Drosophila melanogaster: one gene and its partner. The protein of the gene in region 1 interacts with the protein of each later gene in a pairwise test. Each region holds a gene or a part of one and is shown on either strand. Other genes may lie near its edges.

Region 1 (5,299 bases):
GTTGGTGCACAGAAAAAAAGAAGACAAATAAAAGTATTAACAAATATAGATGTAAATAGTATTTACCTTACTTTATGTGCCCTCTCCGCAAATAGCCGCAATCTCATTTGACTGTGGCATATTTGGGTATTGAATAATAAATCCGCAAATATATTCAATCGTATTTGCTTTCAGCACTCGGTGGTTACTCCTAACATTATTTTGTTTAATGTACAGTTATAGTATATATCGTTGCATAAGGTTCTCAACATTTTAATGTATTATTATTTAAGATCTCTTATAATGCCCACTTTTGCTTGTCTTTTGTTGGCCAACGACCTTGCCGCCAGCCCAGCGAAGAACAAACACTCCCCTCAAAGGAAAACCTCTTGAGTGGCATCACAAAACACTGAATCCACAAGTGGCCACCGCCAGCAGAAGTCTCTGGGCCACCGGAGACATTGCAAATCCGCTTTAAGCGTCTTTATTTAAATGACTTCGTTTCTTTTTTTCCTTTGTCGATTCTCCCACAGGAATACTCCAACAACGCACAACCTCACCCGAAAAAAATCCGGCTACAACAACTACCTGACTTCATCAACTGGCAATTTGCAATAGACTCATTGGCATTTAGCAGACCACAGACACAAAAACCCAACCCATTCGCCCAACGAAACCATTTTTCCGCAGAATTTCCCCCAAAGAAAGCTAAACGAGTCGCTTATAAGAAATTACTCAGGTAAGTTAAAATGCAAAAGTGGGAAAGTGGTGTTTATATAGAAAAGATTTTGAAAAACGCATGAAGAACCTAAAGAACATTATATTTCTAAAATATTGTAACAGTTTCCTAAATTGTGAATGAAAGAGGGATGCATTCAATTTTTTAAGATGCAGAAGTTCCAACTCGCATATCAAGATATTGATTTTAATTTTATAAACAAAATATGTACATATTCCAGAGCTTAAAAAATCTTGCAATTTAAGCTCAAATTACAAAGAATTGTTTTTAAATGGTACTTTTGTAAAGTTTTCAATTGAAGCCTACTATTGGCACGTTTCGATCTTTTTTGCTTCAATAGATTTGTGCTAATTAGCTTAAAAGGGGCCTCATTTACACGCCCCAGCTATATATTTATGTATCTCGCTACCGTTTTCCAATTAAAATTGCAATTTATAGCTAGTTGGTGGAAAAAAAAAGTATAATCAGCTGCACCTTCGGGCGTCGGTGCAAATTTGTACAGCAATTAAATGTTGGATAAAAAGCCGACTTGAAGGGCTGCCAATTCCTGGTTGATTATACGGGAAAACCAGTTTATGGCCTTCCATAAACCGAGGTCTCTTCCATCTGCCTCAATGTCAAGCTCAAATCCACTGACTAAGCGCAGGCATGAGCTACGTTTTAATTAATACACAACTGAAAAATGGGCACAATTTAAATAAAGTTGCGTGCCGATGCTCAGAAGAGGCAGCAAGCCACTACATTTTAAACCAACGTCGCCATTTGAAAAATCTTGGGCAATTAGCACAAGCTGCAGCAGCAACAACAATTAAACAAAAAAGCAACGACAAACAGTAATCAAAATAAATATCTGAGGGAACATAAATAAAGAATTAAACAATCGCATTCGTCACATCGCATCGCACATGCAGCTCAATTTAATTCAATGCAGGAATTCTATGTTATATTCTCTATTCTAAAGATAATATATATGGAACTTCACACAAATTTCAAAAAAATTGTATTTCTAAAACTTGAATTATTGAAAATTTGAATGGTATACTGGTACTTCAGCTTTTGAAAGAGTATTAAAACTTTGAATTAAAAAAATTGCAATAAATTCTCCTGGTTTACATGCATTATTCTGGTATGGAATAAAAACATACACGCGATATGTACTCAAGAATTGTTTTAGCAATTGAATCAAGTTCGATTTGAATCAAATCGAAATGAAAAAGTTCAACTTTCAGGCTCTGAAAGTCAAACTTGAAAATCCAATGAATTAGCATAATTTGAAATCTAAAAAAAAAAAAACAGTATCTTTTGTTTGAATCGAATTTTCCCACGCCCATAAACCAAAATCGCATGCCAATTGTTAATTAATAATTATTAAAATGTATTTTACACACTTTTCATTGTGCATTCATTTGAAATGCAAAGACCCATGCATTTACTACGCTTCCAGCACTTTTTGTATAGAAAAAAAAACTAAGCGAATCTTTTTCGCTTGCTCAAAATTAATTCGTTTAATAAACCGCCGGCGGCACGCTAAAGTTTTTAGTTTGAGTTCAGAGCGCCGACTTGTCGGTAGAATTGGAATCCGCGGAATGAACGATCCACCCCGAAAAAGATTCCAAAGTGAACCAATTGTGAAAAAGAAAGTGCAATCCAGACAAACATCAGCACTTCCCAAATGCAAAACACACAGCCTTAACTTGTGATTTTGATTTTGATCAACAGAGTCATCGGCTAATTGGGATTTCAGTGCGCATTTCTGGCGGCTTTCAGTGATTAGCCAAAAGCCATATAAATATCGGTCGTTAAAGCAGATTCAGGTTCATTAGTGCACGTGATATTCTAGGGGCGAGAGTTCAGTTTGTGGAGCATTAATCTCCAGATCTATTAAATCAGGAAAAGCTGCCAGGTAAATGATTGAACTTCATATCTAACATCATATAATTTCTTCTAAAGAATGCACATTAAATTGAAAGTGCATTTTGGCAAAGGGATGAGAAAGAATAGAATACTATATATCCTAGAAAACAGAGCCGATATTTGTTTATTTATATGAATACAACTTATCCCTTGTTATAAAAAGTTATCCCATTTGTTAGCCATTAAAAAATCTTCCCATAAACAACAGTAGCGCAATTAAAACAGAGATTAATGGACAAATATACGGGCTAATTAAAACGATGCCAGATTTCCCTTGTACAATACTATAACTAACGCAACAGCTTTGTATTTAGGCAGCCAATTCTAGTTGATTTAATCAATTGAAATGACAAAATTTGCTGCCGTTTGTTTGTCACGCCCCCAAACGTGTTGCAGTTGTATGAACTTTCAGCAGCTTCCTCGTCTATTTGTCAGATAATTTTCATTTGTCATTCAATGTCAACACTTTATCAATACGAAGACGTCATAAACAATCAATTGTACGACGGGACAGGCATCAATTGTAAACTTGATCAATTGCAAAGTAAATTGAGAAGGCATTATGCAAAGACTATTGGCGGAAGACTTGATTCATCTACGCCTTCAATTACGAGACCTTTTCTTTTTTTTGCTAAAAGCAGTGGGTTAATTCAATTTTACAACCGAAAACTTAAAGAACTCTGCCTCTCTTTTTCGACTCCCTTTTGTGAGACTTTGCGAGCGAATTATGCTGGCAAATTGAATTTGCGCCTGGCGATAGGCAACAGAAAATGTCAAAATTACAAATGTTGCGCATACGCCCCGTGTGTTTGCTGGTAGTGCTCCGGGGTGGCAGGCAATTAAATAAATATTTAAATTGCGTATGATTCAATTAGAGTCGTGTTGCCGTGTGAAAGATACGCTTCTTAATTGCCAGCCCCAAGACTTGTAATTTACTTTTAATTAGCGAAAATCATTGGGGCATAAAGCGAGCGTGCGACTTTTGGATTTGATTTGGAAGGGGAATGGGCATGGAAATGCGATTGGGAATGGGAATTGGTATGGGAAAGCTGCTTACTCTTGATTTGATTACATTTTAAAAAGACAATCGGCTTACTGCCTTGCCATTCGTAGCAACCAGCGGCTAGCGACGCAATGCAATCATCGACCGATGCGGGCAATGGTGGACCAAGAAAACACACGCAGAGCACAGCCCCCCAGAAGCAGTCGGAGATTAGCGAGACCACCTCCTTCACCGTAAACGCAAACACCACCACCAACAGCCAGCAGCAACAGATTCCCGGCGGACCCGCCAGCAATACGCCCAGCAAAAATCCCTTCAAGCAGCAGTTGGACAGCAATCAACAGAATGGCAATATGGAGCCGGATTGCGGCATCATGGGCGTCGGCAAGGAGCCACCGGTACCGCCGCCGCCCACCTACCAGTCGCAGACCTACGCAGGACGACAGGCTCCGCCGCCAGCGGATCAGTACCGCGAGGAGGATCCACGCGCTGCCGGGTCCTGGGCCGCCGCCAAATCCTGGATGGTCAGCTGGCGGGGATCCAATCGCCTGGTGCTCGTCATCGTGGCCATAGCCCTGCTCCTCGACAACATGCTGCTGACCACAGTGGGTGAGTTTAACTACACTTATACCTGATGGGGATACCTTAAGATAGATACCATACATATATTACGACGCATAAATCTTATTCCCTGCTGGCCATTAGCATTTCATGAGCATTTATCTACCGGGAGCTGGTTATCCTTGCCAGTCAATCGCCTGGAAATTGTCCATTTCCTTGGGGAATGGCGCAAGTGGTGGCATAAAATTACCACTGAGCGGCACTTAAGCTAATGAACGCCTTCCTGTCAATGCGAATGGTGGTTGTCAGTTCATCAATCCCAGGGATACTGAGTGCTGAGATTTTATCAGGATTCTTAGATTCTATGCTAGAACTTCATTGAAAATAGTATTCCGTATTTGAAAGAAAGCATATCCCTTGAGTACAAGCAATATATCGTTTAGAGAGCAATACTTAAACTTTATATTATATATATCTTATATCGAATTAAGTATAATACTTCCCACAAGCTTAATTAATTAGCAAAGCGTAAGGCATTCATTCTGACATAGGATAAGTATTATCTGCAGTAGTTGCTCTGATATTTCAGAAAGAGCTTAGTGCACCCTTAATTTATGTGGGAAGATGTGCAATTAAATCAAATACCAGCCAGCAACTAATCAATGCTGAAGTGCCCCTGCTTAGTCATTATCAGATGCCAATACGATGGCCAATGGAGCAGGCTGAGTTGGGCAGCTCCAAGTGCCGAGCCGTCGACAGTCAATTAAATGGACACGCACTGGAGGCGAAGACCCTCCTGCAGTTGACACTAAAACCCCACCAGGGGAAAACTCAGCGGAAGTGGATGGGGGCCAGTCAGTGGTGGATGTGTCCAGCACCAAGTGCTTGTGTCAAGTGTCTGGCCAAACACATGGACATTGAGTGGGAATCCTCCGGTCCTCCAGCCTGACAAATACAGCAGGGCGAAGGAATCAAAAAAAAAAACAAATAACCCGAAAAAAAAGTGGGGCGAGATTTTTCTTTGTGCCAAACGTTCATGAATTTAAATCAACAAGTTGGGCGAAAAACCAAGAGGAAATAGCCGAACCACTCGAGCAACTTGT
Region 2 (4,997 bases), on another chromosome or scaffold:
TTTGGGGAAAATATTTTTGAAAATCACTGATTAGGTATCGACTGCTAGGCCTTCGAACTTTAGTGTGTTGGCTTTCGAACCGATAGAGGGGCTTTTATATCAGAAAGCGTTGCGGACTTAGTGATATCATCACGAGTGGGGAGCGTGATCGAGATAAACTAGTTTTTGGGGGCTCTGATGCAAAATCGGAGGAGCAGACAGTAGACTTGTGCCAAATTTCTTGTTTACGCCAACGAGTGGTACGTCAATGGAAATCAAGTTTGCCACGCGGGCCTCCATTTGACAGTAAACATCTCTAATAGAATAAACAAACCCAAACACCAAACAAAGGTATAAGTAAACAAATTAGTAAGGGGAATTTTCTGGATCCATAATGTTTCAGGTGGTTTCCCAAGGATCTGTTGAGCATTCTTCTTGACTTGACGATATCTCGTATAGTGTTAAGGTATTCAGCACTCCTGTCTTTATATAGATTTTTGAAAACGCATTTTTGAGCTCCGGCACTCTTAAAAAAATACAACCTTTTTTATTTTCTTTGTCCAGTGTCTGGGCACGTTTTTTAATTATTGAACTGTGTGTCTGGCGCATTTGCATAATGCAGTCTGAACAAAATATTTGGCAGACATATCTGGCTATATATTATTCAAGTCAAATGCAGATTTTGACATTTAAAACGGCGAATTAGACGTTCAAAGTACAATATCCGATTTGCTGCTTTAGAATTCTTCTAACGGGTTTCTTTTTGGAATTACCGCTAGGAGAAGAGCGTAGAAGCTTGGGGGGTCCTGGATGTCATTAAACCTATGAAACTGTTTTTGTGGGATATTTACATTTAAATATTATCCGGAATCTACAAAATAATACTTGCAAGTATAACTAGTTTCTGAAGAATTCAAATGATGCATAATTATTTTCACTAACGGGGGAATCCTTAGGATTTTTTGTACAAGGTATTTCTATATTATCAGGCAATCTAAGAGATTAAAAATAAAACATTTTTAGATTTGAGATTCCATACAATATCTATTGTCTGGATATGAGCATAATTCAGATCGAATCTCTATATATCAACAAACAACAGATTAAAATACTATTAACCGGCAACAGGCTTTCGAGTTGTTTTCTTCATCAAATTGGCTGATGCAATGCAACCAAGACTTTTCATCAGCCATCGGTTCATGCATAATTCGTAATATCAATAGTGATCGGATGATATTGTTAATCATTATAGATGCATATATAGGCAGATACTCGAATGCATCGCCGTGCTACGGAATATCAGAATTTTAGAGACTACATACCATAGCAAAGGTCCTATTTGCGGAATTTTGGATGACGTGTCAAAAAACCGCCGGCCGGCAACTCTAAACATTTTTCGAGTCTTAATAATCATGTTTGTTGAGAGGAGACAAAGGAAAATACTACGTGATACATAGCAGGTTTTACTGGGGGTGTTTTATACCCTGGTAATACCGCTTATAAGAGAGGCTTCGCTTGGAAAAGCGTTTGAAGTTTCACAAAAATTATTATATTGCTTAAACCTAATGAAAAGGTTTGAATGACAAAAAGTACTATTACTTGTGCAAAACTTTAACACGATTATTAATAGTACATAGCAAATAACAGTTGATTTCAAGCATTTTGTTAAACCTAATAATATTCAGAAAATCTCTATATAGTAATATATAATTAAACAATACTTGTACCATGTGTCTCTATTGTTTTAAATGGTATCTTGTAGTCGATTCGTTGCTGGCCGCTGGAGTTGCTTGCAAAGGTTTCGTTTCGTTTTCGCGGATTAAACCAGTTGCTCTAGAGCTCTAATTTGCATTGTCGTCCGCTGGAACGGGTTAGCCTCAGACGGAGACCGAGTTTGAGGTCAACGGGGGGAGGGAGTGGTGCGGGGGCGGTGCGAGGGCGGTTTCTGGCGGCTTGGATATGGTGCAGCTGGCACAGCGACATTGACGCTACTTGCTGGTAGAACGGTGACGCAGTTGCTCCGCCAGACATTGCACTCGGATCGCCGGAGATCGTATCGCATCGGAACGGAACGGATTGGTTCGGCGTATTTAAACCAGTTGTGGAAGCCGCTGGAGGGTCAGTAGAAAGTCCAGAGCAGAGCAGATCGGTAACGAGCTGAACGGAGCGTGAGCTGTGAAATTTCCTTTCTTTTCCATCCAATGTGCAATTTGCAAAAGTTTTGTGTCAATGCCAAAAATTAGCCACACGGATTCCAAACAAAAATTGTTGAAGCAAGCAAGGTGGGTAAAAAACCAGACAGAGCCAGTTAAAATTATTGTACATAATTGTGAAAGCATTTGCAATGTCCAGTTAAAAAAAAAAAATTTATATGAATTGTTACTAATACAAATCCTTGCTTATTTAATTTGAATAGATTGGGCAAACATCTGTCATCGAAAAAAGGATCACGTACTGGAAACTCGGCCAACAACAAGGAACTTAAAGTACTCACCCTGTTGCAAACTGTACCGTGAACTTTGACTTCTCTACAAACGCATTGGAAGCGCAGCTTTGTGTAATCGGCAGAAAATTGTACCTATTCAAAAAGAAGGAAGCTATCTAGATCTAGAGACAAAATGGTCTACACCGAACGTACCGACAAGTGCCTGAGCAGCACCACAAAGGACAACCAGTCCACGAAGGGTCAGAACCACTCCAAGTCGAGCAGCGGCTCTGGATCGGGTTCGGGATCAGGATCGGGATCTTGGAGCAGTCAAGCATCGAGTGCTGACAAGTGGAAGTACAACAACATGGTGAAAACCGATCGCCAGCAATTCAATGGGATGCATTTCTCCTAAATGCTTTAGTAGATCCCATTGAAATGTTCCTCTAGGAATGTGGTGATCCTTGAGAAACGGGGAAGCTGGGGGCTGATAACGTTGTTATTTCTATTTGGTTCAGCAGGGCCGCTTTAGGTTAGTTTTGTAAGCCATTTTATAGACTTATTCATTGCTATGTGATAAAAGAAAAGAAATCATTAATCAATCAATTGGCTAAAAAATTAAATCAGAAGAAGATGCGCCAAAAAAATGAGATTTTTAATGGTGGTGAGAAAGTATCTCGGGAATCATAATTTCTAACTCAACCTTTAAACTTAAAGCCCAGAATGTTATTTCATTCATTTACCATTTGAGAGCCAACCCCAAATGCAATCACCTAACAATATTCATTGCCATTTGACCTTGCTGTTTGACTCGAATTGACTTGACTGATACCCAACGCATATTTTATTGTCTGCAGCATTTGCATGAATTGCGGCTATTAGCGTGATTAAGCCAACTTCTCTATTGGGCCATACGGACAACCCTCGATGAATCCGGACGGAGAGCACTTAATACGCATTAGACACGCTTATTTGACAGCCTCAATCTGCCGAGCGATTCCTGCAATATTGATGATGTCTGGCCATCCCCTTTTCCTTTCGATTTCCCCCGCTCTTTCCATCTGTGACGCGTGTCCTTTGCCGACAACAAGTGTATCTCCCAGTGCAGCCGCAAGAGGACGACGTCCGGTTTTCGCTACGAGAATTCGTTCGACTGTATATTTCTGGAAAGTGCGAAATTTTTATAATTTTTCAATTGTATTGTTTGCCGGGCTGGGAAGCATTTATTTTGCAGCGGGAGTGAGAAGGATGCTGCGGTTGTCCTTCGGTCGTGACACACGACTGAGCAGGGGACTCAAGCTTCGCAGGACACGTGGCACTTGGCTATTAGAAAAAGCGATTTCCTTGACGGTGCTAATAGAATTCTCGCACTCTCCGCCAGTCCCATCCCGGCGTCAAAGAATAAATGTTGTGGCGTTTTCGGGTTTTCCTTTCCGGGAGCCAGCTGTCAATGTCCTTTACACGGAGAAAAGTTAAGAACACGATTTACAACTTATTTCAAATCATTTCGATTTTGAACTGCTATTATCAATTTTAAGTATATAAGTAAAAATATGGATATGCATTTCTATATCATTCAATATAAATTCACACACCATGATTTTTCTAAGTGAAACTCATCTAGTCGAGTCCTGCCACTCCCTTTGCCTCCGACTCAACCCATCTGCTTGGGCTTCTGTCTGTACTGGGCCTTGTAATTACTTTGTTTCCTAGCGCCAGGCGGTCCTCAGCACCCAAAAGATTCCTTGTCACTTTTGGTGTTGTGCGATGCAATTAAAACCGCTCCGCAGGTGTCCTTTGAACTTTGCTACGAATATAAACTGTGTCTCAGCCCGAGTTTGCTCACTGGTGTGGAATGTGTCAGTTGCAAGGCTTCCGAAACGGGACAACGCTCTCTGATTTATCAGACAGAAGCAATTATCACGTCATTATCAACGAAAACCCACAAAAATTGTGGGTGCTGTGATTTTTGTTTTAGTAATTGGTACTCGTGGAGTACATGGTCTAAATACGTTGTAATATAAATTTTTCATATAGGTTTTTATCTTCTACGCAGACTCTTTATATACAAAATCAGTACAATGTTGAATACATTTTTCACGAATGTTATACTGGACAAATATTTATCGCAATTTCTTCTCTTTTGAATTTCTAACAACCCGCGCGTGTTGGCCTTATCAAATCTTTGGCTTTATCAACTGAAAAGTGATTTCCGCTTAGAGACAACCCAGCACGACAGACCCCTAATTCCTTCCTCTAATGGCATATGTCACAATGGCACGTTGGGAAATTATGAATAATATCCGTAACTTCTGCCGAGGCACACCATACACGCCCCAAGTGCCGTGAAATATTCCCGAGCAGCTTGCGTTGAAAAAGTGGAAGAGGGCGGCCATGCCCACACTTCAACTGAGTCGCTGCCAACGCCTCCGAAATTTGTGAGTTTCAAACTGCCAGGCAAATTTGTTTTGGGGCGTGCCGTCAGATACAACTTCCGATGACATCCGACAGATGTTTTGCAGCCAACAGGATAACCACCGGATTGCCGAGTTTGCAGTACTTTGCCCCGGAGTTGCGCCCGCTTGCAAAACAA

Evidence for each region.
Region 2: the proteins of Vmat (region 1) and CG10570 interact in a two-hybrid assay, tested with the Drosophila melanogaster proteins (one large-scale study listed by BioGRID).

The regions. Positions count from the first base shown.
Region 1 is NT_033778.4:13,526,833-13,532,131, reverse strand, and holds the start of Vmat (vesicular monoamine transporter), read left to right. Parts: upstream 1-2,256; 5' UTR 2,257-2,621; intron 2,622-3,745; 5' UTR 3,746-3,766; coding exon 3,767-4,244; intron 4,245-5,299.
Region 2 is NT_033779.5:18,808,083-18,813,079, reverse strand, and holds CG10570 (uncharacterized protein), read left to right. Parts: upstream 1-2,093; 5' UTR 2,094-2,208; coding exon of another isoform or gene 2,209-2,261; intron 2,262-2,395; coding exon of another isoform or gene 2,396-2,495; 5' UTR 2,496-2,597; coding exon 2,598-2,819; 3' UTR 2,820-4,386; downstream 4,387-4,997. Other genes in the region: CG42502 (uncharacterized protein), read left to right, coding at 2,209-2,261, 2,396-2,495.